2 linked regions of the Diceros bicornis minor genome follow. Each later gene encodes a partner of the first gene's protein in a complex. Links are inferred from orthologs where the notes say so. Each region holds a gene or a part of one and is shown on either strand. Other genes may lie near its edges.

Region 1 (15,477 bases):
AATTACAAAATCAGTTTGTATTATGCAATTTCCAAAATTAAAAAATATTTAAGAATTTTTAAACTACCATGATCAGTGTATATTTTCTATAACTTACTGTAAGATTTAACAATCCTTAGATAGAACTCTTCAGGGTTTCTACATAGGAAGGAGAGACAAGAAATAGAGGGCTCCCAAACGATTTCAGACATATGCCAAGATGGCACAACTGACTTTTAAATAAAAGGGTTTTCTAAGTTGAAAGCAATACTAAACTCCTGGTAGGTGAAGACTAAAGGAAATAGCAAGCATTAGTATTTTAAGATTCTCTAAGAATTAGAAAAATTAACACATTTTTAAACACATAAGTCTACCACTCCTGCAATCATCTACTTATCAGTTTTACTTGATCATATCTTGAAAAGCCGCAAATGTTAATATTCTACCATCAGATCAGGTATCTAGCCTCTTGTCCAAATGTAAATGCCACTGATGAATTCTATTTGGTCTACCAAAGAACAGTCTCCCGCCAACCATGGGGTCATTTATCACTTACGCAAAGAGACTGTAAGGATGGAAAAAGAAACTGCAATGGTTTGGTTCACCACCTCTTGGCCAGGACAAAAGAAAACAAACAAACTTCAGCACAACAGACATCAAAGAACATTCAGTCCACTCTCCACCCCACAGACTCACACTCCTTTCTATGAGAGCTCCTGGCAAGGAAGCGGAGTATCGATGATTATCCTGTAATCAAGGTAAGTCCCAAGGAGGAGGAAAAGAAGCCCACGACAAAAGCGTTTTTAAATCCTGTTTTAACAACAAATGATTAGCACAAACGGAATGTTCCATTAGTGTAAAAGGAAAACCCCACAGGTCTTGTGCTGTAGGAGGTGACATCCTTGAAGAAATATCCGGGGACCAAGCCTGACGCCAGCGCCCTTCACACAGGCCCCCATTCTTTATGATCACAAGAGGCCTTTTCAGACCAGGCTTTCTGGAAGCCTTAATTGTTCTACCTGGGTTAACCACGTCCTTTTTCATAAAAGAGTATTTAAAAAGTGAAGTGTGCAGCAGCCACACCTCAAGAAACACTTTTCTGGGGTTTCTTATAAATGCCTTCCCTCTACTCTGTCCAAAGGCTGGCATTCAGGAAAAGACATATAATTAAAGCTGCCTTTTTTCTCTCCACAGACACATTCCTAAATGTGTCCCTCAGGGACACCCTGGAGACTAAAGCCCTTGATTTTTCTCTAACAGATTATCTACAGACTTCTCCCTGCAGGAAAGGAATTTCTCGTCTCATTAGTGGCTAAAAGGGCTCCTTTGCCAAAGGCATCATTAGCCACCAAGCTGCAGAAGGTAACCTGCTCCTTTATGTTAAGAAAGGGCTCTGGAGAGCAAGCCATACCCCAAACTGGGAAACGGAAGAAGCCGGAGCTTCAACCTCACACCTCGGACACCCCTAGTCTTTAATCTATTGGCTAAATGTAAGACTCAACAGTTCTCCACGTCCACACAGGCAAACGACCGCCCGCCCCGTGCCTACTCACTCACTCAGAGACGTTTATGAGCCCCTGCGCTGGGTCACACAGCCAGGACCAGACTGATGTGGTCCCTGGCCAAGGAGAAAGCAGGTGAAACTCAGGCTTGGTCTCCTGAGCCAGCTGGGGCATGAGCTCTGACCCAAGACACCCTTCAGGGAGCAGAACCCACTTGCCAAGTTTTTTCCAAGACAAGTGATCTTGGCAGCAGACTGATTTTCTTCAAAGGGCTTCTTCAAAGTCCAATACAAGGGTCTAGGTGTTGATTTTGCTGGAATTCAAAGGCCCCACGGTTTAGAGATCTGGGCCAGACCCAGAACCAAAGGTCACCCAGGGAACGGCTCTGAGATGAAGATAAGGCCTAAAATGACCTCTTCTCACTCTCTCTATCTGGGCTAGGGCTTCTCAATCCTTCTGGAGCTAAGCCAGAGCCAGCGTCCCTCCAAAAGTAGAGGGTGTGAAGCACAGTTTTCTAGGACGTATAGCAACTAAAATCGTAGTATTTTAATAGATATCTAAGATTATTGTTAAAGGGGAGAAGAGTGATGTCAGCAAATATATGTTGGAGCTGACGACATTTTAATAAGCACATGTATTGCTTTTAATGTGCTTAAAATTAACAATTTTAAGCTTTTAACAATTTTAAGCTTTTACATTTTTAAGTTAATAATTACCATTAAAATGACATATCAGATACTATATATAAAGACCCTCCTCTGATGGTAGTTATAGAAATACAATGAAGTCTTTGTAACCAAAAGGAAGTTTAAGCAAAACGAAAAAGGTACAAGACTCTTTCATAGACTTATCTTCTCTAATGTGAAAAACACTTAAGTGGTTGACTTACTTGCCTCAAGAGTTTTATTTTTCATTTATGGGTTTATTTTTCCCAACATTATATATTATTTTTCCTTTTCTTAGTCCTATATTCCTTGAAGCAGTGACTTCATCAGCCGTGTTAGAGCACACCAGTGAGATTTCATCAGCTATGCTCTTCCAAAACAAAGACTTGGCCTGTATGAAAACGGTAAATACTTGAAGATGTACATATACGCACCCTGGTTTCAATGGTGTTCCCTACTAAATCACTCCAACAGAAGACTCAGCTCAGGGGTGTCACCGCCCAGAGTTCTTTGTAATGGTGACCTCACTCTGGTATCACAGTGACTGTTGGGGAAAGAAAGCAGCCACCACTTCCTGATTCATTTTCAACAGCCAGCTCTCCTTATTTTATTTGCTCATTCTTAACACTTCCTCTCATGTGTCCCCACCCACATCCAATCCATCACCAGCCAGGCCAATTGAAACTTCAAAATATTTGTGAAATCCACCCACCTCTGTCCATCTCCGTGCAGTCACCCTAGCCCAGCCACCACCATTAGTCACCTAGATTACTCCAACAGCCTCCCATTTTGTCTGTCTGATTCCAGGCCAGGCCTGCTTCAAATCCATTCTCAACCCAATGGCCACAGTGATTTTTGACAAACTGGATCACACCACCCCTCTGCTATTAACCCTTAGTGGTTTCCCATTGCTCTTAAATAAAGCTCTGACTTCCTCTTCAGCCTCAATCTACACAATCTCTCCAGCTTCCCAGGTGTTCCTGTCTCAGGGCCCTTGCACAGGCTGCTCCCCCTCCATCAGGCCCCCTTCCTCTACTCTTCACCAGAAAAACTCCTCTTTATTCTTCAGGTCTCTGCCTCAGAGAGGCGATGCGCAATCTCCTTCTTTAAATCATGTCCTTCCTGCTTTTTTCTCTTATGACACCCTGTTCTCTTCCTCCACACTACTTATCACAATATATGATTATTTATTTATGTGTTCGTTTGTTTAATGTCTCTCTCCCCCACAGACTCTGAGCGTCCTGAAAGCAGGGACCCTGGCTGTTTTGGTCACCCTTGTTTACACTGTACACCCAGTACCTGGCACACAGTAGGCATTAAAAAATATTTACTAAAAGTATAGATGAACTTTCAAGACAGGGGAAAGCAGGTAGAACTCTCCCCATGCTAACTGAATGTCTTACAAATGACATCACAATCAAAGCATACCATGAAAAAAACATGAAGGAACATCTTTCACACCATCGGAACAATGCCTTTAAGGTACATTCCCCCCTTAGTCATTTCATTCCATTGTTGTAAGCAGGTTAGGGTTATTTATCCCAGAGCCGACAGAGAAACTCAGTCCTGGGCACTGAGCTCAGTTTCCTACCCTGGAGCGGGAAGGGACTGTGAAAGGTGGGAGGTGGGAGGGTTCCAGGAAGGCTCAATGTTATCTCTAAGGGGAATCCCAAGAAAGGAAAAACTGAAGCAGTAACAACATTGTTCGAATTTTCCAATCTGTTACAAATAATCTAAATGTGGTTAGGAAACGTACAGGTATAAGCACAAATGCTGACGGCTCATAATGTGTGAATTATAGATCTCAACCATCATCTAAGTCATTTCTCTGCATCTAGCTCTCCTAGAAAAACAACTATCTAGCCCTTATTTCTTTTTAATAACCCGAATTTCCCTTGGCAATTTATGACAGAATCTTACTACACTTACAGTTCTTCCAAATATCTAACCTTTATTAATATCCAAATCCTTTCAGGTGCAACTGAATTCCCTCTTGACTCTTCAAGAGAGATAAGAAAATGCCTCTCCATCACTCATGTTCTCTCTTCATATCTGGAAGACTATTCCAGTATTAAGTTTCATGATATTTAGTTACACAATGGCCTTCCAGTCACCAGCCTGAATGAATATTCATTTTAATCTATCCTTAAGAGACTGTTTCTCCAAATTTTATTGCTCTTAGTACCTAAAAAGGTGTCTTTTTTTTTTAAATCAATTTAGGATCCCAAACTACATCAGACCAGAGAGCTGTACAGAGACTCCTACATGTTGGTGACCTCATCCTGCTCTCAGATTCATGTCTGTTCTATGATCACAAGATGTAACTGATTCCCAGTTAACTGAGGCCCAACTGAGACCCCAGGTCTTTCATAGCTAAGTAGAAGTGCAAAATCAATTCATTTCAATTTTTTCTTAACTAAAAGGGCCATGCAGTCTTCCCTATTAAATGTATCCTATCTATATGTCAGCCTCTTTGGTATCTTAAAGATGTGTATTATCACACTAAATTTGACGTCTGCAAAATCTGAGTCATTACAAAAAGCATATTCTCTTGACTCCAAATACATCAAGAGAACAAATGGAAATATTAATTCAGCTGGCTCTTAATGCCTTGAGTTTCAGCTTCTAGAACCATGACAAAAGCTATAGTGTATAGCAGCAACTCTTCTTTCCTAGAGATTAACACACATGCACGTGCACACACACACACCCCCATACCCACACACACAAACCTATAGACCAAGATTTGAGCTTTTGTTTTGTTTCTGGTTTTAATGTCTAAGGTGGAGTCAATCCATTAATAACTAGGTCAAATGATTTTCCTAGCCCAACCAGTTTCTTTCTGTTAAACTTTTGCCTCTCAGTATGTCTCACTTTCCAACTGTCAGCTATCTTGGGCACCCAAGTGATGTACCAGGGCATCAGCCCTGAAACCAGGGCTCAGTTTAACTGGGTTCCCCAGCACCTCGGAAAGTCCCAGGAAACTTGCAATTTCACCTACCGATAGAGGAGCAAAGAAGTCTTCCTTTGCGGTTATTAAAAAACCATCAATTAAGTGCCATTTTCCTACAAGTTGATACTGTGACTAAGTGGTAATCAGCTCATGTAACAGAGACAGGAATAACCACCTGGGTTTAGGAGTACATTGGGGAGGATGAGAAAAATGAAGATGCAGAGACTGAACTCTTCCTGACATAGGGAGCTTAGGGAGGTTTCCATTCCTCACAAAGCAATAACAGAACCTTCTGAATCTATACATGGGTCCCATTAATTCACAAATCCAGAAACATCTTACAAAGATCAATTAAGTCTGGCAACAAGCTCCCTTTATAAATAGGGAAACTTGGGTGTTTAGAGACGGAACAGCCAGAAGCCCAACAATGAGTCAGGACCAAAGTGGGCATCAAAGCTAGGAATCTGAAATCCCCGTCCCCAGCAGGGAGATGCGATCTGTCTTTCAAGGGAATGAGGTGTTCACATAAGAAATGGATGGCAGAGTCAGAAGTTAATATCCACACATCTTGGGATGGGGCAAGATAAAGGACGGTCAACGGTGCTCATTTGAGGTTGGAAAGGAAGCCAACTCAAGGCCCCAAATGTCGTTTCATCAAATGGAAAATTAGCAGTGCTTCAGCCCCTGCTTAGCAAAGACACTGCTCACCTTATGGCTTGTAAATTGATGCCATGAGATACCCCATCCATCCTCACCTCGAGGCTCTCTAGTTTTATCTGATTTGAGCTCAGAAATGCCTATTCATCTTCGGCCAGATAAGCGAATCAGGTATTACATTTGCAAGCAGGCATGCCGAAATTGGAGCCATTGGACAGAAAAGGGAGTCTGGTAACTTCAAACGCTCTGGCTTTTCCCGTTTCCTTCACCAGGGAAAGTTAACATACTGTTTAAAACACACAAAGTAAATCAGTGTGCTCCTTAAACTGGGGCAGTTAGGCGGTAACGTGACTGCCTGCATATTTAAGATCCAGCAAAGTAACCAACTAAGCTAAGCGAGGCGAGCTTCTGGTATACTAGATTAGCATAATCAAATGTTCCATTCCAAGCACCTGTGAAAGAGAAGAAATAAATCCATAACACTGTGGAGTGAATTGGGTTTTGCCCAGCTCTCCCTGCAGGAGTGAGAAACTCGAACACAGAACTCTTGACTGGGGAGCTACAGGTGAGCAGCCATCCACTGGGAGTAGGACCCGAGAGAACTTGACAAACTCCAATGAGAAACAATGCCTGCTTCCCAGTTGGGTCTCAGACCCTTGCTCCAGCCATCACTGGGAAATCCTTACTAACCTGGGGCCCAGGGCAAACAGGGTTAACATTCTTCAGTTTGAAAGTTAAAACCAAACTGTTCTACCATTCTTTGGGGAAGAGAGCGGGGAGGGAGGGGCAAATTCTCTTCACCAACCCCTTCTGCAGTTGTGAGGTGGGGGTGAGGGAGAGCCATCACCGGGCAGCCTGCATTCCTCATTCCCCAGCCCCCCACCTCCACCCACCCCGCACTGTAACGCCCCCGCTCTGTCCCTGGGTGAGCCTCTCGGGCCAGGGAGCTTCAGTGGGTCTCACTCCTCCAGTTAATCCTCCCTGCGCCCTGGCCCGGTCATTCTCAGCTCAGCGTCCAGGTCAGTGAAATACCCAGGAGGCTTTCCGCATAAGTTAAGGCGTGCATCAGACACACTACTCACACTAATAAGAGGTGTTTGCCAGCCCACATATATTTTCAACTCATCAAAAATTCATTAAGGGCTTACTAGGTTCCACGCGCTGAGCAACGCCCAGCAGATTCAAAAATGCCCCAGATATACACTCTCCCAACCCCGTCCTCCTTTCAAAGAGCCCACATACTGGGACAGCTGGGGTATGGCAGCCGAAGAAGTTAAAGCTACGTTATTACTAGTCCAGGGGATCCCTCTCGAAAGGCCTCTCTCGGTCCGCCCCCTGGGGACCCAGCAGCGCGGTGACCGCCGCGCTCACTCCAACAGGATCTCGGCGCCCCGACCACACGTTCTCCCCGCCATGCCCCATGCCCGAGGGGCCCGCGCCTCCGCTCCCCGTCCTCTCCCCCGGCCCGCACTCACTGCGTCTTCCGGCGGCTCTGGTCCCGGTGCAGCTCCCGCAGGTCCACCTCGGCGCGGCCCAGGAACTTGTCGAGGCCAAGCAGCGCGCGGTGCAGCACGGTGAGCTGCAGGGTGGCGGCGGCCGCCGGCGCGGCCCCGGTCGATAGCAGCGGCGGCAGCTCGAAGGTGGCCTCCTCCCGCCACACCGGCGCGCCCAGGCTGCGCTCCGACACCGAGGTGGCGTACTTCTCCTTGCCCACCTGGATCACCGCGTACGCGTCGCTCGTGCCCCCGGGGCCCTTGGCCCGCAGGCCCCGCGCCTGCAGCACTGTCACCTGCACGTGCGTTGGGGACCACACGGCCCCCGGGCCCCGGCCCGCCGAGGCCGCCAGGGACATGGTGACGGTGCCGCAGTCCGTTCGACGTGAGGAGAGGATCGCCGGTCCGCGGCCTCTACAGCCCGCCCCGCCGCCCCGGCCGCTTTAAGGCTTCCGGCCACGCCCCCGCCGGGCCCGCCTCCCCCGGCCCGGCGCGCCGCCCGCCCCCTGCCCGCGCCGGCCCCGCCTCCGAGCGCAGGCCGTGCGGGGCACCGGGCACCGGGGGCGGGGCTGGCGCGGCGAGGGCAGGGGCGGGGGCTTGGGGAATTCTGGTCTGAGAGGCGCTAGGAGAGGGATGGGGTCCCCAACGGCCAAAGGCCGCCCCGCCGCACTGGAACTGCCCGAGCCCTGGCTGGGCAGTCAGACCTCACGCCAGTCTGGCACCGCCGGCTGGCAGGTGTGTGACCTAGCACGATTACTTCACAGCTTTCGTCCCAGTTTCTTCATCTGTGAAACGAGATAACAGTCACTTCATAGAATTGCTGTGAAAACATAATGTAGCCTGGCACGTGGTGAGTCCTCAGTAAACGGTGGGTATGATGGTGATGATGAACGTGATCCCAAATTCACCGCGCTTTCTACTTGGGCCCGCCGAGTGCGTTACTGGAGGAAGGTGGGTTCTGGGATGGTGCCAGGTGGTGGGGAAGGAGGAGTATCGTTTCAGGGCTCGAAAGGGGAAGGTGAAGTGGAGGGTGGGCAGGAGGTGGTGTGGGAGTGTCCTGTTTTGCCCTGCCCTCACCAAATAAGGTGAGGCTAAGAGGCTACATGAGGGAAGGAGAAGAAAGGAGGAACTGAAATGGGATTGCCAAACCAGATGTCAGGAGCAGAGGGCCCCCTGCCTCAGTTCCCCATTTCTCCCTGGCCGGGACCCTCTTCAGTCTCTCCCTGCTGTTTATCTCTGGGCTCCCAGTCAGTCACTTCCTTGTTCCAAATATCCATTAGATTGGCGGATTCCCTTCATTCCCGCTATAGGGTCGACTGTGGATCATCACACTGGAAAGGTCACTCTGCAAGCTTATGGGTTTTAGTGTTAAGAAAAGGCCCAGAGCAGAGAAGTGACTCGTTTAAGCTCCCACAATAGAGCCAGGACTAGAACCCAGGTGTCTGGAGCCTCCAGTGTTTTTGCTGCATCCCTCGCTTCTTCCAGATCCTCAACCCCAATCTTGGATTGCTGCTGGTTGCCCCCTGATCTCTAGGCTCTCCTCCCTCCGGTCCACACTGCACATTGCTGCACTAACCTGCTCGAAATCCTACAATGTTGCCTCACCACCATTTGCATTAACTTCAGACTTAGCAGAGATTTCAAGGCATTCCTATTTTGGCCCCACTCTGACTCATTCTCCTCTATCTCCCGAACAAACTGTAGCCCAGATAATCTTCCCACCTCCAGGCCTTTACTCACTGGGCTGTCCCATGGCTGCCCTGCCAACCTCTCTGCCTACCCAGGTCCTACCCACTGCACAGCTTCACTCTGGTTTCTCCAAGGTCTGGCTTCTCATAGCCCCCTTCAGGGCAGGGGCCAGGTAGCGACTTATTTAACTTGTCTCCTCCACAGCCCCTAGAGACACCTGGGTACACAGTAGGTGCTCGGGAAGTGCTATGGAATTGAAGAGTTTGCAGGTTATTCCAGCCAACCATGAGTACTTCGTGTGTCCTTTTACCATGTAGGAAATTAGATGACAGACATTATGCCTCAGGTTTGCAACTGAGGGTGGCTACAGTGTGAGAAAGGCCTATTTAGTATGTTGTAAATATTTAACGGTAATCGGAAGGGAAAAGGAAAGGAGGCACCAAACATGAGGTGGCAGGAGAGCCTAACAGAACTCTTGTTTTGATGCCATTTCCCCTTCTTGATGATCTGTTGACCTCATGGCTCCATTCGTTACCGTACAGGTTTATTGAGAACTTTACTCTGTGCCCGGCATCTGCTAGGTGCTACGGAGGGGACAAAGTCCTCCAAAGGGGACCCAGTTCCAAGGCGCACCATGACAGATGCTATAGAGGAAGTCCTGTATTAATAAAATGCTTTGGGTGTTTTGAGGACAGAGAAATTTCTCTAAGCAGGTGGATTTTTGTGAAGGAAGTGGCATTGAGCTGGGCCCCAATGGATATACCAGATTTGGTGGGCAGAGAAGGGGCCATGGGGGAAGAGTATTTCAGGAGCGGCGAGCAGAACAGATGAAGCAAAGGCATGGGGGCCAGAGAGTACCCCTGACGTGTACAGGGGTTATGAGCACCCCCACTGGGGCTGGACTGTGGGATATTTTAGGAGGGCGCTGGGGGTGGGTGGTAGAGATAAGACCGCCATGGTAGGTGGGTCCAGATCATGCATATCATGAACACCACAGTGTTAGACCAGGTGAGCCAGCCTGCAGAGGATTTTGAGCAGTGCTGTGATGAGACCGTGCTTCAGGCTGCAAGGCAGGTATGAGCAGAAGTAGCCCAGCAGTCAACAGCGCGGCAGGCCAGAGCCAGCTACCTTCCTTCATTTTCACCTGGGGACGCCTGCCTCCCGCCCCATTCCAGCCCCCCTTACCCATCCTTGGTGTCTATTCTAGGTTGGTACTGCCTCCAGGAAAGCATATACTTCCTTCTTGCTTGTCCTACCTGTCCACTGCTCCACTGCATCCCAGCTGGACAAAGTCAAAGATTTGGGAGCAAAACTGGGAGTAAAATTTTTCAGCTCTGGTCTCCCTACCTCCCCGCAGTAAAGAGAGCAAGGAATGAAACCTGGCTGGACAGCCTCACAAGCTGAGTGTGACACGAAGCATCCCTTCCACTCATGGAAAGAATTAGAGGACAAAGGGGAGAGGGAGGAAAAATTATAAGCACCTTGTGACCTCGTGTGTTTGGGTTTCTGTCAGACACAAATAGGCTCTATGGTTAAAGCCAAGGTGGTGGGTGGGGGCTGGCCTGGTGGCGCAAGTGGTTAAGTGCGAGCACTCCGCTGCAGCGGCCCGGGGTTCACCGGTTCGGATCCCAGGTGCGCACCGACGAACCGCTTGTCAGGCCATGCTGTGGCAGCGTCCCATATAAAGTGGAGGAAGATGGGCATGGATGTTAGCCCAGGGCCAGTCTTCCTCAGCAAAAAGAGGTAGATTGGCAGATGTTAGGTCAGGGCCGATCTTCCTCACAAAAAAATAAATAAATAAATAAAATTAAAAAAAAAAAAAAAAAGCCAAGGTGGTAGGTTCGGGGAGGGCAAGGCTGCCTCACCACCTGGAGAAATCAAGATCCTCTCTCTAGACACTGGCCACTAGCAGGGGTTAACTCAGAGGGGTGGGGCTCACGAGAGGCAGGAGGTAGAAATCCATCCCAGGGGGGAGAGAGATGCCAGGAACTCCAGCACAGGGCCAGCTTCAGGGCTGGCTTCCTGCCCTCCAGGCTCCTCGGTGCTTGTCTTCTCCCCTCCTCCTGCCAGAGCACATCATCTGTCCCTCTAGACTCACTCACTGACCTCCCAGGAGTAAGAGCCTGTCTTCTCCCCATGTTATAGACCCACAGTCTGGGCTGTGGGGTGCACAGGCCTAACGACAAGAGTGAGATCAGCTGGCCCTGTCCCCCACCTGCCCTGGGAGGACTCTACCTCCTCTCCCACAGGCTGGGTCCTGGGTGGGCCTGGGGTGGCAGACCCTTCTCAGTTTCACTGAATTCTGGTTCACTGAATTCCAGGAGTGTTTGTAAACACCCCCCACAGCCAGGGTGTGGCTGATGACTCTCTTTCCTCTCACCCTGCCCCGCCTCTAGCTCGGCCTGAAAGAGGAAAAGAGTTTCAGTGGGCCCTAGCACGTGGGCAAGGCACCCGGCAGGTTAGACTGGACAGGTTAGCTGCCTGAACTCCTCCCAGAGCAGCAGAGCAGAGAGCGCCGGACCCCCAGCCACGGCCGCCGGCCCTGGGCCTCTCCGCAGGCAGCTCCCGGCTGTGCAGTTAGATGCCGAGCACAGATTTGCTCTTCGGCGCAGGTGGGAAGACTGCGCCTCCATAAGACATAGTGTAGAGCTGTGCTGGGGGCCGGGAGGCAGGCCATGCGGAAGGAGAGACTTTCACTGCCCTGCTAACTGCCAGTCACTCCCACCCAGGGCTCCTCAGTATCCCCCTACTGCCGGAACACTAACTCAAAAATCATCAGGGGACTCTGGATGGGCTAATGTGCTATCCCAAGGGAGGAGCAGAAAGGGGCTGGTCATGGCCGCTTGTCTTTCTCCTTTGCCTCAGACTCTAGGGGTGTGGTGACAAATGTCCACACACATGACTCATTCACTGAGGCTCTTGGTAAACAGCCCTCTGGCTTCTCCAGGTCCAGCTGCCTCAGCCTCCTGCACACTCGGTTGACTGAGACTACCTTCTAGGCGTGGGCTCTGGGAGTAAGGGTTTCCTGCTTTGTGGGGTCAGGGAGCCCGGGGAGCAATCCCTGACATCAGGCTCTCTTTCCATGGCCCCAATGGCTTGCATCATAGATAACGCAAAGGTATTATCTTTCCCTTTTGTCACGTCCCTTCAGAGAAGGCCCCTGAGTCCTACGACTAAAAGGCAGTAGAGAATGTGTGCCCCTTACCTTCCCACTTTCTGCCCAAAGCCTTCCCTTCCACCTCTCCCATTCAGAATTGCTTCTTGTTTCCCAACTTATTTCTTGTACTCTGATTCAGCCCTTGTTTTAATCCCTGTAAGCATCTCAAAGGCAGGAAATGTCCTCACGTTTGCATTGCCATTTCTAGCTCTCCCAATTCCAATAGAAGGCAGTCCAAGTTAAGTAGAGGAGACATAAATGACTTTTAACCCTTCAGCATTAGTCCATTCAATCCCTGCTACTGCCACTTTAGCACTACCCTGTATAACGATCTTTTTGAAATGTAAGGTTTTATTTTTTATGATTACAAAAGAAATACATGTTCATCATAGATGCAAGCCATACTCCACCTTTCCAGAATCAGTTTCAAGGCATACAGGGGGAAAGCAGAAGTTTTGAATGTTTATTCCTCCTTGAATTGTCCCATTGGAAGGGTCTGGTTCTCTTCCTGGCCTCTCCCATGTAAGCCATGAGCCTCCGCTTTCTCATTTGCTGGGACCCCTGGACACAGACCCCACCGCAGCAGAGCTGGCCAAGAGGTGGGTGTGAGCAGCCCCACCTACTCTTTACTCCTCTTCCATTTTGATGCCACAACACGTGGCACAGGGCTGATGGGGTGCACTGACGTTTGATACCCTAGGGAATTATAATGGAGGCCTGGAAGCTTAAAGCCGAGCCCAGCACTTGACATTTTACAAAGTCCAAGGGGGAGCATCAGAATAAAAGTCTTTACTTAGGGGTCCCCTCCAGGGGGCAACACCAGGTTCTAACCAGGTTCTCTCCTTACATGCCTTCTTCTTACCTGCGCCTATAGTCCCTCTTATGAATCTCTGCCCATCTTTGGGAAATCCTATCCCTTACCGGTCCTAGGATGCACAACACCTTTCCTAAGTCTAAATCATTCACGCTGGGATAACATTTGCCCCCACCACCCCAACCACGCACACTCCAAGTTTGGGGAACACCTTCAGCAAGGAAAGTCAATGACACTAAAGTCTTATAAACAGATAGGGAAACAAATTACAAAACAGCCTGTTCCGTGGCACGATTGGGTCCTCCAATTCAAGTTTTCTTCAAAACTTGTTGGACTAAAAATACGTACACGTGTCCCAAAATAAACATTCCTGAGAGATGATACCACCTAAATCTATAATGATAAATCAAATATTGTTGTAATCATTCATAATTTTTAATAAACATATGTATTGAAATCTAATCAGAAAATGGAAGAAAAATGTATAACATAGGAACAGATTTTTTTAAACAAACTTTATTATAGCATTACAGCACAGCTATAACGAAGGAAAGAAAATGAAAAGGAAAACATTATACACAGAAAAGTGCACAAAAGTGTTCAGCTTGGTGAATTTTCACCACCCAGATCAAGAAATAGAAGAGTATCAGCTTCTGCAGGAAATCTCCCCTGAGTTCCTCCCAGTCACCAAGCCCCCCTCCTTTCCAAAGGTAACCACTCTCCTAACTTCTATCCCCATAGATGGGTCTTGCTATTTTTGAACGTTATATAAATGAATCATACATTACATATTTATTTTGGGTCTGGCTCCTTTCACAGTATTGTGTTTATGAGATTCACCATTGGTGTTCATGGAGCAATAGTTTGTTCATCTTTATTGTTTTATAGTATTCCATGGTATGATTATACCACAGTTTATTTTTCATTCTACAGTTGATAGACATTTAGGTTGTTTCTAGTTTGGGGCTGGTAGTGGGCTGAATGATCGCCCTCCAAAAGATATGTGCCATCCTAATCCCTGGCACCTGTGAATGTTATTTTGTTTAGAAAAAAAGAGTCTTTGCAGATGTAATTAAGTTAAGGATCTTGAGATGAGGAGATCATCCTGGATTATCCAAGAAGGCCCTAGCTCCAATGACAAGTGTGCTTAAAAGAATGAGGCAGAGGGAGTTTACACAGACAGAAGGAGAGAAGGCCATGAGAAGGAGGCAGACACTGGAGTGATGTATCCACAAGTCAAGGAATGCCCACAGCCACCAGAAGCAGGGAAGAGGAAGGAACAGAACCTCCCCTAGAGCCTCTGGAGGCAGTGCAGCCCTGCTGATACTGTAATTTCAGACTTCTGGGCTCCAGAACTGACAGTGAAAGGATAAATTATTGATCTGCCAAGTTTGTGGAAATTTGTTATGGCAGTCACAGGAAACTAATACACGGCTATTAGGAATAAGTTTGCTATACACTCTTGCATATCTTTTGGTACCTATACATAAACATACACACACACCTAAGAATGGAATTGCTGATCATAGGGTGGATATATGTTTAGCATGAGAGATATTGCCAAACGATTTTCCAAAGTAGTTGTACCAATTTATACTCCCACCAGCAATGTTTGAGAGATCCAGTTTCTCCACATCTTTGTCAAGCTTGGTATTGTCAGTCTTCCATATTTGCCCTTCTGGTGGATGTACAGTGGGTTTAATTTGTGTTTCCCTGATGATTAATGGGGTTGTGTGCTGACTTATTGGCCATTTGGATATGGTCTTTTGTGATGTGCCTACTCATTTCTTTTGTCCAGTTTTTTCAGTTGTCTGTCTTATTGGTTTGTAGGATATATATATATGTATAATATTTATGTATAATATATAATATATTATATATAATATAAATATTTAAATATATTTATATAGACAATATATTTTATTATATATAAGGATATATAATAAAATATATATATATTTTATACCTTTGTCAAAAAAATGTAATGCAAATATCTTCTACTCTGTGGCTTGCGTTTTCACTCTTAGTGGTGTTTTGGGGTAAAAAGAAATTCTTTTAATGAAATCTGAGTTATCAATCTTTTCTTTTATAGTTAGTGTTTTTGTGTCCTGTTCAAGAAATCTTTACTGCCCCAAAGTCATGAATATATTCCCCTTTATAATCTAGAAGCTCTATGGCTTTACTTTCACATTTAGATTAGCAATCCACCTGGAATTAATTTTTGTGTATTGTTAAAAGATAATTTTCAAAAAAAAGATAAAATCATGACTCATACAGATATAAAAATGAACACATGTTAAAATGTTGTTTAACTCATTAAGAAGGAAAATTAGCAAGGTGTTTTGACTTGTTCGAAGGTGAATCTGAAGAACAGACACATTTACAGATCAGGAAAATTGAAATGAATATGCAAATTGAGGCAAAACTGGTTTTTCCACAGTAGGCGGGAGGGTGAATTTATTGTCATGAATTTTGCATTGCTATCAGCTATCTACAAGTTACAGAGTTGTAAAATAGCTGCCACAACATCAAAATCAGACAACCCAGAGGGTATGCTACAGACAGTGC
Region 2 (16,110 bases), on another chromosome or scaffold:
AGCGGAGAGAGCACAGGCTCAAGTGCTCAGAGACTTGGCTCTGGTCTAGCCTGAGCCTCGATGTCCCTATCTGTGAAATGTAGGGACTGTACCAGCCAGTCTTGAAGGCCCCTTCTTGCACCAAGAGTCAATTCTGTGATTCCCCAGCTTTGGGAAGATTCCCCAGCCTTGGGAAGAAGTTACCAATTATAAATAGAATAGCTCAGAATGCTAACTCATTTGCCAATGTTTCAGCAAATGACAGAGCCAGGATTTTTATCCAAGTCCACCTGACTCCAGAAGTTTCTCCACTTCCTCCTGGGTCTGGAAAAAGAAAGGAACTGAGAAAAGAGACTGAAGAAATACTGCTGCTGAACCAGATCTGCAGGAGCAACACAAATGCGACCAATGACCAAGAGCCAGGAGTTCTGGCTGAGCTGGCCCACCGTGGGCCTGTTACGCCCTCTTGTGGAGCATGTCTGAAATGCTTTGCTCTGCCAACTTTTTCATTTCCATGCCAGAACAGAAGCGGGGATTGGGGGAAGCAGGAAGTGGTTTTTCCAATAGTTTTTGAAAGCCAGTGACCCCAGCTATTGTTCTAAAACAGAGACTGCTTGAAGACATCGGTCACTTAGTGAAGCCCAGCTTCCCTGTGTTCATTTATTGATGAAATAAGTTATTTTTGTTTCTGTTTTTACATCTTGTACATACTTGTACAGGGTATAAAGCAGTGAACCCAACAGAAATGGCACCTTTCCTCCTTAGCTTGGGTGGGGGAGGTCAGACATTAAACCTGTAAACCCAGAATAAATACATAGGCAGGAAAGAATTCTTTCTCCTTCACACTCCCTTTTCTCCTTAGCTTTCTCCCCAGTATCTGGAGGGGAAAAGAATCGTTGGCAAGATCAAAGAATGAGAGAGACTTTTAAGCATACTTCATAATTCATTAAAATTACGTCTGTCTGCTTTCAAAAGTTTCATACGTTTCATGGATACTGTGCTCTGAGGATTCTAAAATAACTAAATCCTCATCTGCACTGAGGCACCACAAGGAAGGGGATGGCTCCTCCCACCAGCGAACCCAGGAGCAAAGCCCAGCTCAATCTTGAAGGCTGCAGGGAACTCCTCCAGGAGGCAGCTGACACTCTGGCAGAGAGAGAAGAGGTGTGGAAATGAGGGGATGGTGGCACGGTGGAGAGGAATTTTACATACATTTCTAACCTTCACAAGAATCCAATAAACTAGGGGCCACCATACCTATCTTACAGATGAGGAAACTGAGGCCCAGAGAGATTAAGAAGCTTGCCCAAGTCTCAGAGCTAAGAGGCTGTGGAATTGGAATCTAAGTCTTGGAAAAGCAATAGATTAGGAATCCAAAGTCTGGTTTCTAGTTCCAGTTCTGAAAACACTTGCTGAGTAACTGTTGGACAAGTCAATTAACACCTTGGATCTGTTTTCTCTTCTGCATAACGGGGGCTTAGTTAAAAAGGCCTCCAATGACCCTTCCTTGTCTGCCAACGTGAGGGCCAGAGCAGAAAAACAGGACGGGGGCCCTGAGGGGCTCCAGTGAACAGGAGGAGAGAGGAGCCCAAGTCCAAGGGCAGTCATTAGTCACTGAGGAGTGAATCACTGATGAGCAAATGCCCTGTTAACTGTGACGTATAATCCCCGGGCAGCCTCTCCTGAGGGGATCTTACAGCTTTCTCAGCAATAAAACACAGAATATCAGAGACCTCAGATTCCCTTATCCAGCTGATTCTAAAGTTTTTAAACAGAAGTCCCATCCATAACACCCTTCACAAAATTAATTGCTATGTGGTTTTTTGTGGGGAGGGCCAGGGAGCTTCAGATAGGTGGGACCTACCCTCTCTCAACCCTCTCCCAAAGTATGTGTGTTTGGGGTGCACAGCGGGTATAAGAAAGGGAAGGCCTAGCCCAGTTTGCCCTGGACCTCATTCCATCCAGTCTTTCAAACCAGCTAAGCCTGCAGGGGCCTGTTTCCTATTTTTCCCTTTTCTCTCTCTCTCCCCAGTTATTTTTATTATTCTGCAGAAACTCTTCTGACCTCTGGTGAATTCCATGATAGCAGATAAAGGTTTTTCTCCTTTCCCAATTTACATGGAGAAACTGCTTCAGGAGCTATTGATTGGCTCTCAGAAATAATAATCGCAGCTACTGTTTCTGAAGGCTTATTCACTACCAGGCACTGTGCTACGACCTTTTCATGCTTTACCCCATTTTCTCTTCACAACCACCCTAGGAATTAGATATTACTATTTCCTCATTTTAGAGATAAGGAAATGAGGAGCTAGAGACCTTATAGAACTTATCCAAAACCACACAGCTACTAAGAGGCAAGGCCAGGACACGAATCTAATTATGGTGTTGGGTAATTTCTGTCTTGTCAGTTTGCGACCTTCTTTTATTTGTAGGCTTTGTTATAACTGCTTGCTCTGCTATTTTAAGCTTCACTCTTTCCCCTCCATGGATGGTAGAGGGGAACCCCTTTTCCCTAGTCCTGGTTTCAGTGGGGAAGGGTTTTTTTTCTAAGCACATTCCTGGTACCTCTTCCTTGTTTATCCATTCCTGGGTAGATGAGGGACTGATCTGTTTGGTCAATTTGAGAAACCTAGTCATGCTCAACTCAGCATTGTCCTTCTTCTTACCGGGAGGGAGCTGCCAGGGGGCCTGCCTAGTCTTTGCAGGCCAGTTCTGGGGTTCACTATTAGTGGTGCCCTTCAGCCACCAGCTCTGAAAGCTTCTTCTCCAACCTGGCTTATATCGTAATAAAGGTGATCTTTTTGTTTTATTCCTCAACTTGTTCAGAACTCAGGCAAGGCAAATAGGATGCTATTTACTTAGAGTCCCCCAGAGAGCCCAAAATGGGCCTTCTGAGGGAATTACACTGGTGGGAAATCTTCATGCTCTACTGCTGGTTCCAATCCTCACCTTGGTGACTTCAGAGTGTAAGTCTAGCTTCTCTAGGCCTTTGAGCTCTAATGCCTGCCCCCTCTTAAGAAAAGAAGGGTGGTGTGGAAGAAATGGCTAGTTGTTTCTTGATATCTGTTCTTTTCTTCCTCTAGTAATAATAATCCTACCCAGAATAAAGACGAAATTTCCCAGTCTCCCTTGCAGCTAGGTGTGGTCACATCAATGGGATGTGAGCAGAGGTGATGAGCACAACTTATGATCATACATTAAAGGGAAGGCACTTGCTATCCATTTCTCTTTCTCCCTTCTGCTGGCTGGAATGGGACATGATGGTGGCAGCTGGAGTAGGAATTTTGAACCATGAGATGGAAGCTATGTTTTTTGGGTGGCAGTGTAACAACCAAGGAAGAGCTTAAAAATTGCCACCTTCAAGCTACCATATCAGCCCTTGACTACTTATCTAGATTTCTATGTGAAAGAGAAGTAAACTTGTAACTTGTGAAAGCCTTTGTCATTTTTGGGTTCCTTAGTTATAGCATCTGAACCCATGTATTGTAACTAACACAAGTAGGGACCCAGGAAGTTGCCTCCCAATTTGGGGGAGGGGTGTAGGGCTCTGGCAGAGGCTTAACTGTGCACCTGACTCACATGTATGAGGGAATCAGTGAATGAGGGAAGGATAGAAAGATTGGGCATTTGTTGAATGCTTACAATATTCCATGTGCCAGCCCTGATGGCCTAGTGGTTAAAGTTCAGTGCTCACTGCTTCGGTGGTCCGCGTTCACTTCCCAGTCAGAGAACCACACCACCTGTCTGTCAGCTGCCATACTGCAGTGGTGGCTCATATAGAAGAACTAGAATGACTTACAACTAGGATATACAACCACGTACTGGGGCTTTGGGGAGGAAAAAAAAAAAAAGAGGAAGATTGGCAACAAATGTTAGCTCAGGGCGAATCTTTCCCTGCAAAAGAAAAAAAGAAAAAAGAATATTCCAGATATTGTGCCTGATACTTTCAGTTATACTTTCTCAGTTGATCTAAACAATAATTCTATGGGGGTAGATCTCTTATTATGTAGCTGAGGCTCAGAGAAGTTAAGTAACTTGACTAAGGTCACAGAGCTAATAAAAAGTTTGCTAGAAATGGAGCTAAGTCAATGTGACTCTCAAAGCCATATTCTTTCCTCTATAGCATACCATTCACTCATTATCCCCTTCCACCAAATACAATATGATATAACACAACAAAATCTTGCCCGTGTTGGGAGACAACCCTCCATGGGTCTCTTGTGTTTCTGCACATCTTGTGAGCAGATGCACTGACTGTCGTTTGCCCCAGATTATCTTTTCACGGATGTCTGTAGAGCAAACAGCCTTCAAAGAGAGAGGTAGTGTTTCCCTTCACAGCAAAGGACAGAAATGCTTACTTCCCACTATAAAAGGTTTGGTTTCTCTCAGCTCAGAGTTCCCTTCCTGTAACACAGTGTGTAAAGACATCCAGGAACTGATATAAATATGCTGATGCTCACGCTGCACACAGTGCTGTGAATAATAAAGTCCTTTGTCTCTGACCCAGAAGTCTCATGTCTTCTGTCTGTGTCCATGAAATTGTATTAGGCTAAGTTGTTAGCTTGCAAACAGGGCGAAATCTCAGTTCTTGACAGTCCCTGCCATATTGGTGTCATAGTGAGAGTCACCATTGTTTTACTGCATGCGTCACATCACACAGGCTTTTAACTTAAATTATTCCAATTAAATGTACAAGGTCAAACAAAGCAATAAAGAAAATTTAAATACTACTCTGCCGTCCCTTTTTAAAAACAAGTGCAGGCCTTGGAGTAAGCATGTGCTGAAAGAGTTGAATCTGCTATTTTCTTAGTAGATCTCAGTTTTCACGTGGATCACATGGTGTGGTCATTTTGCCACAATCAGTGTGATTCTAAAGCTCAAAGATGCATATTTTTTCTTGTATCATGGCTTCTAAATCTAAACCACCCACTTCTTCTGGTGGTCAGCCAAAGAGATAGCTATCACATCCAACGCCAGAGGAAAACTAAGAGACTATAAATCAGACTCCAGTGTGGAGATTTCCTGAGAAATCTTCAAGTACACTTTTCACCTTAGGTGATTTTGTTGTTGTTGTTATGGGTCAACTTCAGAAGTCATGCCCTCGTATGGTGTAACCCCAGAGGATTATATTTTGGGGCATTGGTATAAGGTGTATGGATCTGTTGGAGGGGGGACTATTTTATGGACACAAAACTTCTTTTACAATTGAATATAGCATGTACTAATACTTACATTTTGCATCATTTTCTCCTTTCATATCATAAATTTGCATCTAATACTTTTTCATATCCAGAGACTAAAGAGTCTCATGCACTTGATTTTGACTTCTTGCTAAATTTTGAAGTATATCAAAAGCTATTTCTTTTTTGGTTAAACTAGTATTTTTTAACTATTTGCTTGTTTTTACTCAATTGAATTATATATCACTGGAGGTTAATCAGCGACACTTAAAAATATATTAGTTTTTTAAATTAGGTAGCACATGCACATGGTAATAAAATTCAGAGTATAAATTGTACTGGTTCTGCTGTATCTTCAATATTACCTCAGGAATTGGGACACCAATATTTTAATATCTAGTGCTGGATTGGTGGCAACTCCAAAAGCACTACACAAAAAGGGGTGAGTGTAGAGAGAGAGAAAGAAAAATAATCCACAGTCCAAGATAAGCCTACGAACCAAAATTCTAAAACATATGAGGAAAATCAACAAAATTAAGCTGACAAAACCAATAAAGATGAATTAATCTGATTTAAATAAACACAATAGAGAGATCTGAAAGTGACTCTAAATGTTTAGGCTCTGGAAAAAGACAAAGAACAGAATAATATCTATTTTTACAAAAGCAATTATAAAAATAGAAACAGGTAGAAATGAAACAAGAACAGATGCATAAGACAAAGAATCAGCACCTGGAGCGACCCCATGCACCTCCCCTGGGAATGGGTGACCTCTCATTCATTTGCTGCATCTTCCAGCTGACTGCCAGTTTGTGTCATTCATGCCACACCCCGATGATGAACATCTCTTTGCTGTACTCCAATCTACGACTGGGAAGTCAAGGTGTGTGTGGGTGTGGTGGGGGCAGGTGCAATCCCTCTCCGTCTAGAGCCCTCCACCATGCCACCCAAAGCCCCCTGCAATGTGGTCTCTCTCCATTTGTATTTTCCTTTGCTTAGGATGCAACGGGGCAAAGCAGATCAGTAAGTCTGCTCCCCAAACAGGTATTGGGGGCGTTACTAGTCTCCTCTTCCTGCAGGCACACCCAATCTTCACCAGTCATTCTCTTGGAGGCCTCCTCTCTTGCCTCTAGGAGGGGATACAGCCCCCCAAGGAGGGAAGGGAAGGGATGGGTCTCTTTCCAGAACACTGCATTTTCCTAAAGGCTGACTTACCCCCCATCTCTCCATTCTTTCTTTCCACTGATTAGTGGTGATGGTTTGCGGATGAGGAGAGGGGTGGGAATGAGGAATGGGTGGGGAGTAGGCTGCTGGAAGGGCTGGTAGAAGAACAATAATGGCTCTTCAAATACTCTGCTAGAAGAAAGCTGATTCCAACCACTGGTTCTTTTAGTGTAGAATGTGGGCTCCTTATGGACTTTTTTCTTCAGATTTGGGCCTCATCAGCAGTTTCAGGACAACAGGAAAAATCCCTCTCAATGTCCAGTTACATGAGCATATAAGTCTATTTCCCCCTCCATTTATAGTTGAACAAATGTTGGCACGCTGTTTAGTTTTCTGATTCCTGTTTTTTTCACTTGAGGTATTTCTTAGAGTTTGTTCCATATCAGGACATGTGCCTCATTCTTTTTTTTTTTTTTTTTTGTGAGGAGGACCAGCCCTGAGCTAACATCCAATGCCAATCCTCCTCTTTTTTGCTGAGGAAGACTGGCCCTGGGCTAACATCCATGCCCATCTTCCTCCACTTTATATGGGACGCCGCCACAGCATGGCCTGACAAGCGGTGCGTCGGTGCGCACCCGGGATCCGAACCGGCGAACCCTGGGCCGCCGCAGCGGAACGTGCGCACTTAACCGCTTGCGCCACCGGGCCGGCCCCAGCGCCTCATTCTTTTTAATTGCTGCATATATTCTACAATATGGATGTACTAAAATTTATTATAATAGCCCTCTAGTGACAGTTTGTCTCCAGTCTTTTGCTATTACAAACAGTGCTGCAACGAATATTTTGTGTATATATCTCTTTTTATATAAACAGCTTCTTAAGAATTTACCTAGAAACCCTGACACGTGTTTGGCATCCAAAAGACAGTCCTTCTTTATTATGCTGCAACTGGTCACACAGTCTCTCCTAATTTTGAAAATTCTGTGACTTATTACAACAAGTGACAATTTCTACTGCCTTTAATTGCATTGCTTAGCATGTGACAAGCACACTGCACTCACAATGTTTTCCTTCAATGCTGCAGCAAAGTGTAATGTCTTTTTTTGTGTGAGGAGGACTAGCCCTGAGCTAACATCCGATGCCAATCCTCCCCTTTTTTCTTGAGGAAGACTGGCCCTGGGCTAACATCCATGCCCATCCTCCTCTACTTTATGTGGGATGCCGCCACAGCATAGTTTAGCAAAGCGGTGTGTCTGTACGCGCCCAGGGTCCAAACCTGCGAACCATGGGCCACCGCAGCAGAGGGTGGGCACTTAACCGCTGCGCCACTGGGCCTGACCCCAAAACTGTAATGTCTTTGACATAGACTTAAGTAACAATTACAGATCTACATCTAAGCTGCTACAAGTGCAAATAAGGGAGGAAGTATAGAGCAGTGCTTTGGAATGGGAGTTCTGAAATCATACGTGCTTGAGTTCAAGTCCCAGTACCTCCAATTTTTACCTATATGACTTTAGACCTGTACAACATAGCTTTCTCATTCACAAAATGGGGTGAATATAGTACCCAATACAGAATGGGGATGTTGTAGGGATTAAACAAGAAAATATGCACAATTCTTGGGACAGTTCCTGGCACATAACAAGTGTTCAATAAGCATTAGCTATACATGAAGATTTCAATTCAGGTAACAACTAGATATACAGAAACTTTCTAGTCAGGCCTAAGTTCATAGCTGGATAAGTAATGGTAATTGGTTCACAGCTTTCTTCTTTATTTGGCACAAGCTAATTTATTGACTTTAGAGATGTTAAATTGTGACCACAAACCAACTTTATCTATCAGAATTAAAGAATATAGGAATAGAAGCATATACCTATTGGTTATATATATAATCTAAATATTATTTATATATATATATATAAAACCTACATATACATATCCACAAGGAGTTTTATACATATATACATCCACTAGCACAAGGCAAAAGCACCCAGAGCCCACGAAAGTTACAACACTGCCTTGTACCAAGATGTGCTAAACTTTCTGGTAAGGTGATTATAGCAGATCAAGTTGTAAGACCGGAGGTAGTGGACAAACTGTGAAAAAGGTGGTTACAATTTCTCTTCTCTCATCAAAGGCACCCCAAAGGGAGGTTAAAAGAGACAGAGGTGAAACACAGGGCATTAATTGCCACTTCCTAGCTACACGATCTTGGACAAGTGACTTGATCAATCTGAGCCTCAGTTTCGCCATCGATAAAATGGGGACACGTACACCCTGGGGCTATTGGACAGGGACCCACTGTGCCTTGCTCACCGCTATGCACGGAGCGCTCAATAAATACATATTGAATGAACGCAGTAAATGTGTGCTTAGCACAGTGGCCGGTGTATGCTAAGCGTCCAGTAAGTGGTAGTTGCTGGCATTAAAAATAGTGAAAAGTCCCCAGAGCGACAAACCTATTCCTGTAAAACCCAGACGCACCTCAGCACGTTCTACGCGATCTTGCGTAGTAACACCCCCCAGGGGGCGGAGACAAGCGACTGCGCTTGCGCATAAGCGCTTTCCCCGCCTCTTCAGGCGCGAGGGCCGGTGGGGCGGGCCTAGACGGCGGCGCGACGAGTCCAGAAGGGAGGGCGGAGGAAGGGGCGTGGCTAGCAGGCCGGGCCCCGGACACCCTCTTCCGGGCTCCGCCAGCTGCGCGCGCATCCTCCTCCCCCTTCTTTTGTGGTCCGGCCCATTGCGAGGGTGACAGGAAACCCTGTGCAGGGAGCGCCGCCATCTTGGACCTGCCCGGGAAAGATCCTGAGGGAGCTGCCGGAGCAGGCGCCGCCGCCACCGCTACTGCCTCCGGCGCGTCTGCACCTCCTCGGCCAGCCCGCTCCTTGCCGGGGCCTCGGCCGACCGCCCGTGTCCCTCTCCCGCTGCGCCCGCACTCCTCTTCCTCGTCCTGACGCCCCCCTCCCGCCCGGAAAGCTGCCCAGCCACCAGCACCCCCCCAGGTAACCCGGGCCTCCCGCAGTGTCCGTCCGGCCGAGGCCTCCGCGCCCGGCTCTCCCGGTGCCGCGGCGGGGGACGCCAGGGGGCAGGCCCTGTCAGGCGGCGGCGAGCGCGGGGTCGGCGGTGGGCGCCGCGGCTTCGGGCCTGACAGGACTCCGTGCTGCGGTGAGGGGTCCCCGCGCGGCGCCCGCCGCCCGCGCCTGCGGTGCTCCCGCCCCCGGAGGGCTTCGCGGCGTGCGGGAAGGGTGTGTGCGGCCTCGCCTGCCCGCCTCCCGGCCGGCCTGGGCGGATCGCGCCGCCCGCGGGCCCCGTCTCCTCGCCGCCGTTCCCGGCGGCCGCGGACCACCCCCGCGTATTTACCCCGCGGGCCGCGCCGCCCGCAGCCCCCAGACCCCGGCGCGGCCTCCCCCGTCCCCTAGGCCGCGTCCGGCCCCGAGTACAAAAGGCAGCACCCCGCAGCCCCGCCGGCATCTTGGGGCAGCTCCGGTGTCCTTGTCAATGTGCTAGACCGTCTCTGGGCTCGGGCCCGGGCAGGGTCGGGGGCTCGGTGCTCGCCGGGTGCTGGTTTGGGTGAGTCCCTCTAAGGCCCTGAGCCCGGACAGCCTCTAGAAATAACGAAGACGACAAAAAGTTTTGGCCTTTCTGGAATTTAAGAAAAGAAGGAACAGGCGTGTTTCGCTGGTTTGCACTTTACTGTGTGCCAGGTACGGCTTGAGTGTCTTTACACGGGTGTGTCTTGCTTCACGTAGCCCCTGGTGATAAGGAGAGGTATCTCCCTTTTACAAGTGAGGAAACTGAGGCTCGAAGGTGTGGTGTGGCTGGTTGACGATGGAACATACGGACTGGCCTCGCGCTGCACGGTGGCTGGTGTTTTCTCTCCTACATTCAAGTTAGGCTAGGGTTACAGACCCTTTGAAACGTAGCTACGGTGTAATTCCTTTTTTCCTGTGTTTGCGTTGGATGACATCTGATTCTCCTTTATAACCTGAAGTCTGTGGTGTCAGCCACTGCACTGCCAGCCCTCATCCTCACAACCCCAGAGGAGAGATGGCAAGGTTTCCACTTCATAGTTAAAGAAGAAACTGGGATTCCCAGAGAGCCGGTGCTTTCCTGGTGGTCCCACAGCAAGTGTCAGAGCCCAGATTTGAACTCGTGCAGAGGTTACCGCTCCTTTCATTATTAATTATCACACTGCCTTTTATTGAGGATAAACCTGACCTTGCAATAATCCAGCTCCCGCTTCCTGTTCCCCCAAGACTTTGCAGAATTTTTCTTCAGAGTTCTGCTTAGGCCCTTTCACTTGGTCGTGCCTTGAGGCATGTAGTGGTTAAGAGTTTTGGAGGGTTCCCAGTCCAGTACTGCCACTTCCTAGTTAAGTGACCTTAAGCAAGTTACTTAGCTCTCAGACTCAGTGTCCCTATTTATACAGGGGAAAGTTGTACGCACATTTTAGAGTTGTGAGGATTAAACGGGATTAAAAACCTTTAGCACATTGCTTGGCATATAGTAAGTGCCCCATTGCCTGTTAACAGTGCCAGGCATATAGTGGGTGTTTAATGTTTGTTGAGTGAATGAGAGGAGCATGGCTTTGGAGAGCTGTCGAGTTAGAGCTGGGCCTTAAGCTTAGCTTTCTCTTTAGTAATGTAAGACCCTGGATATACCACCTCTTTGAGCTGGTTTCCTTATCTGTAAAATGAGTTTTTAGGATTAAAGATTGCTTATAAAGTAGCTGGGATATATTAGGCACTCAATAAATGGCAGTTATTGTAAAGATGTAAAACCTATAGATTCTGATAACCTAAGAAATTCCTTGGAATTAAAGCTACATTTTTAAAAGTTTTTGCTTTTTATATTTCATGTTTATATTTGTTGGATACTTGAACTATACAACAGAATTTGGAGTGTTCTTACAACTGATTTTTATCAGTATTAAATATCTTTATGTAATCTTAGTAAGATATTGTATTATTAGATGAAACTTGGTTAAGGCAAATAAAATGTTAAAACTAGAACTATTGACGTGTTTCATTTTTTAAAAAAGCTTGAAACATTTTTATGTGGTTAAAAGTGGCAGGCATGGCTGGAGACAGCAATGTACAGATAGAGGTATCAAAGATACTATATTTTACTTTTTAAAAACTTCTTATTCTAGACAATTTTAAACATATACAAAATAGAGTTGTATATTGAGCCTTCATTTACCCATTAGCCAGTGTCAACAGTGATCAGTTTTGTTTCCTCTATATACACCTGTATTTCTCCACCAAATTATTTTGAAGCAAATCTCAGACATCATATCATATCATCAGTAAATTTTTCACTATTACTAATCCTTTTAACTTTAGTGGTAAGTGAGGGTTTTGTTTTGTTTTTTTCTCCTGAGTAGTTTCTTACTGTGAGTAGAGGTGCAGTATTGGAGTACTTTATTCTCTATTGATACCATCATAATTAGCTGGAAAATTTTGTCTTTCTCTTAACGCATTAAGGAATCTAATTTTTTTTCATATTCACATTAATTGATATAAAAGTGTGACATTAAATATCTTGTCAGAAGTGAGGTGTGTTTTTTTTTGAGTGAGTGTCAGAAATGGGTTAGTTATTTTCAGAGGTTGCATTGCTGTTGAGGAAAGGAAATTGATCAGTCATTCAGATTAGATTATTAGATTAGCTACTGAAGTTTTGTGTTTACTTGACTGACAAATCAAGTGGTATTTTACTTTAGTGGGCCTGTAAACAAATCAAAATGCTTCTGTTCTTGAGTTCCATGAAGGTGGGGACAATGTTGGGCTTTTTTTTTTCTTTAATGGCTATTATATTCTCGAAGTCTAGAACATGGCTTTGTGCTTAGTAGTAGATGCTCAACAAATATTTTTATATTGGAATCACAAAAGGAGTCTATCTTCCCTCTGGTGTTCTTAACAAAATGTCTTGCATTTGAAAAAAAAGAAAACTTACTAATTTTAACAATGAGGATCAGAATTTAAATCACCTGGAATATTTAGTGGGTTGCTTTTTTCCTGTGTTGTCTTGAATCAGTTATGTAAAAATTACACAGTAACATCATATGTTCTAAGGAATAGAATAAAATAGCTATATAACAGTTGTGAAAGGATTAGTCAGACTTAGTGCGTTAACACAGTAAGGAGCCAAACGCTAAAAAAAACTGGAAAAAATAGCCTCGATTATTAGGATGTTTTCTGAGGCCAATCATATGATTGACTTCATATGATCTTCCCCATATTATTGGTAAATGTGGAAGTAATATTATGAATGGGAGTTTTTTTGCCTTTATTCTTTAATTTATTTTGTATTAGAATTATATATAAAAGTGCTTTTAAAATATTTAACAGTCCTTTATATTCTCTACTTTGAATATTTTAGAATATTACCAATGAATATAGTACGTGCTCAGACTGTCAGTGTAGGGATATATAAAGAAAGTTAATAATTTCCCCCTTCCTTTTTTCTACTCTCAGCCCATGTATTCATTTTTCACAATTTGTTGTGTATCCTTCCATATTATATGCATATAGGATTGAGTGTATGTGTATTTAAAAATGGAACATGCTATTGCATAAAACTCTGCAACATGCTTTTTTTCATTTAACAAAATCATTGATATATTTCCAAGTTAATACGTATGTATCTAAATGGTTTTTAAGCAAGATGCTTATTATTTTATAGTATGGATGTACTTTATTCAGTCATTTCCCTGTTGATGGCAGTGTAGTTTCCAGTTTTTTGCTCTAAAGATGCTGTAGTAAATGCTCTTCCACCTGTAACCCAATGGACTGAAGCTTTTGTTTCTGTAGGCTACTTCTAAGTGGGTTTCTTGGCCAAGGGGAGATTTGGATTATTTTTAAGATTTTAAAATATACCAATTTCTTCCCAAAAATGTCGTGGCAATTCAGACTCCCACAAGCAGAATATATGGACGTGCCTCCTTTCACATCTGTATCTGCACATTTCAAAACTAGTCATTTATATGTCTGTATATTTTATTTTGAAAGGTGTGTGATTCGGTATACGGAGACCATGGGATTCTTTTTTGGCACAACAATGATTAGTGGTTAATATGCGTTTAGTAACCATTTAGATCTGTAAGTATTGGCCTGGAAATAGATCCTTGATTTTGTTAAGTGGAAAAAAAGCATGTTGCAGTCGAAATATAATGATGTACACCTGAAATTTATATAATGTAAAGTGCAACCTCAATAAAATAAAATAAAGCATGTTGCAGAGTTTTATGCAATAGCATACCCCATTTTAAATATATTTCTACCTTAACAGTGGTAAGTTTCATGTTCAAGAGATGAGGTTGAGAAATCGTTTGTTAAAGCACTATTAAGCATAGTTAATATTTAAAAGGGGCCACTCAACAATTATTAGTGTTTAATATGCATTTAGTAAACATCTCTCTTGACAGCCAGGAAGTTTAGAGCTAAATTTTACATGCACTGATAGTAAACTATTACCCTAAATTTTTAGTGTAATTATCCTCCATCTTTCTCTGATTTTTTCTTTCACTTTTATCATTCTACATATATATGCCTTTATAAGCTACCTTAGAGAAAATCATGTACTTTGGAATCAGGTCTGGGTTCAAGTTCCAGCTTTGCCATCTACTAACTTTTTAACACTGGCCAAATTAGTGAATTTCTCTAAACCTCAATTTCTTAATTTTTTTAATTTTTATTTATTTATTTTTTTCTCCCCAAAGCCCCAGTAGATAGTTGTATGTCATAGTTGCACAGCCTTCTACTTGCTGTATGTGGGACGCGGCCTCAGCATGGCCGGAGAAGTGGTGCGTCGGTGCGTGCCAGGGATCCGAACCTGGGCGGCCAGCAGCGGAGCACGCGCACTTAACCGCTAAGCCACGGGGCCGGCCCTAAACCTCAATTTCTTCAGTTTTGACATGGACATAATGATAGTGATTCTGCAGAGTTGTAAGAATTAAGTAAGAATTATATAAGACAATATAGGGAAAAGTAGTACAGATCATCACATGGTTTACTCTCAACAAGTGTTAGTTCCCTTCCGAAACTTTTTTGTAAGTAGATATAAATGAATTATTATTGATAGTATTATTATTTATCCATATCTACAAATCCTGATCACAATGTATCCTCTGAATGTAATTATTTAATACTGCTTGTTCAGAATATTAAAGTAGAATCAAGTGAGTGAACTGAGAAAGATTTGTGTCCCAAAGTGCCACTGTAGGCTTTCATAGTGTATCTCATAACTGGAGGAAGCAAGATGGTGTAGTAGTTAAGAGGAGATTCTTGGCAGTCAGAACAGTCCTAGGTTCACTATAGACTTGACCACTTAACCTGTGTGACCTGGGCATGTTACTGATCTGTTGAGTCTTTCCTCATCTGTAAAAGGAGGATAATAGTCACTATTTTATAAGGGTACTACTAAGAATTAAATTAGATTGCATGTGAGATGTTGAGCATATTGCCTGGCATATATTAAGTGCCCAATAAATGATAACTATGACAATTGTGTTTGTTATTAGTTTACAAGTTGTTCATCATGTATTTGGTGATGACTGTTGTCTGAATGTAATACATACTCTTTTCTGAAAGAAATCAGAGGCATTAAAGGAGATCTTATCTACATGTGAACTTTATTCAGATGCTTTTAGTAAAACATGGAAGAAAGTACATTTTAATCATGCCAGTAGCTGTGCACAGGTTTCAGAATATTATCAAGGTTTTTAATTAGTGGAGATTGTAGTGTTGAGTGGACTTATGTTTTCTTTGAACTAGACCAACATTTCTTGCTAACCGCCCGCCTTTTTTTGACTTTTCAGTTCTCGAAGTAAAGCAAAAAGCACCTGTAAGTAATAGAGAAAAAACTTTTTTCCACTTCCAAAAGCTAGTTAAGAATACATTCCTCACCTTAACAGTGCTATGTTTCATGTTGAAGAAATGAGGTTGAGAAATTCTTTGTTAAAGCAATGTTAAGCATAGTTAATATTTAAAAGGGGCCGCTTGAATATAGCTCTCCTGGAAATACATAATTTTGAGTGAATGTTATCAGTAAACTATGGGAGTACAGTTAAACCTATCTAGTATCTTACCTTAGAATAAGAAAGGGAGGACCTGAGCCCGGCTTGGTGGTGAAGCAGTTAAGTGCGCTTGCGCTCTGCTTCGGAGGCCCGGGGTTCGCAGGTTTGGATCCTGGCATGCAGTGACGCACCACCTCTCAAGCCATGCTGTGGCCGCGTCCCATATAAAGTAGAGGAAGATGGGCACGGATGTTAGCCCAGGGCCAGTCTTCCTCAGCAAAAAGAGGAGGATTGGCATCCAATGTTAGCTCAGGGCTGATCTTCCTCACCAAAAAAAAAAAAGGGAGGACCCGTTGTGAGTGTTAGTGGCTGCTGTGCTAGATATTTTCTGCCTTCCTTGTCTACTGCAATGAGTAAGTTTGAGTAGTTTTCCTTTAACTATGCTTTTAGGGTTTTTATTTGTAATTTTTAAGAAACTTGAAACAGAAAATTATATGGTAAGGTGGAGACAGGCGCTGGCGTTCAATCTGAAATAGTGATCATTTCCTTTTATTTGGAAATAGTTTATGCTAATTAATGCTTGGTGATTTTAAAAAACATTTTCAAAATTAGTCATCTCAGTAGACATTTAATTAATGAATGCTTGTGTGATAATTAGCAAGTACACAAATTAGTACACTAGAATTGGGTTATAATTTCATGATTAGCCGTTAGGCATTTCAAATAGAAATTGGGATTGTTAGAGGCCATAGTTTTAACATAATAAAG

What was found.
Region 2: the proteins of RAB11FIP1 (region 1) and RAB14 are in contact, whole or in part, in a crystal structure (PDB 4D0G), measured with the Homo sapiens proteins. The link is inferred for Diceros bicornis minor from reciprocal best matches to the Homo sapiens genes RAB11FIP1 and RAB14. Residues at the interface, in NP_001002814.2 of Homo sapiens: Glu1252, Ile1255, Asp1256, Asn1257, Leu1259, Val1260, Met1263, Pro1267, Asn1268, Leu1270, Arg1271, Ile1272; in NP_057406.2 of Homo sapiens: Leu28, His29, Ile44, Gly45, Val46, Glu47, Phe48, Gly49, Trp65, Arg72, Arg74, Ala75, Val76, Ser79, Tyr80.

What each region holds. Positions count from the first base shown.
Region 1 is NC_080768.1:34,613,222-34,628,698, forward strand, and holds the start of RAB11FIP1 (rab11 family-interacting protein 1), read right to left. Parts: upstream 7,648-15,477; 5' UTR 7,609-7,647; coding exon 7,232-7,608; intron 1-7,231. UniProt on the Homo sapiens protein: A Rab11 effector protein involved in the endosomal recycling process. Also involved in controlling membrane trafficking along the phagocytic pathway and in phagocytosis. Interaction with RAB14 may function in the process of neurite formation.
Region 2 is NC_080767.1:28,362,213-28,378,322, reverse strand, and holds the start of RAB14 (ras-related protein Rab-14), read left to right. Parts: upstream 1-9,096; 5' UTR 9,097-9,328; intron 9,329-16,110.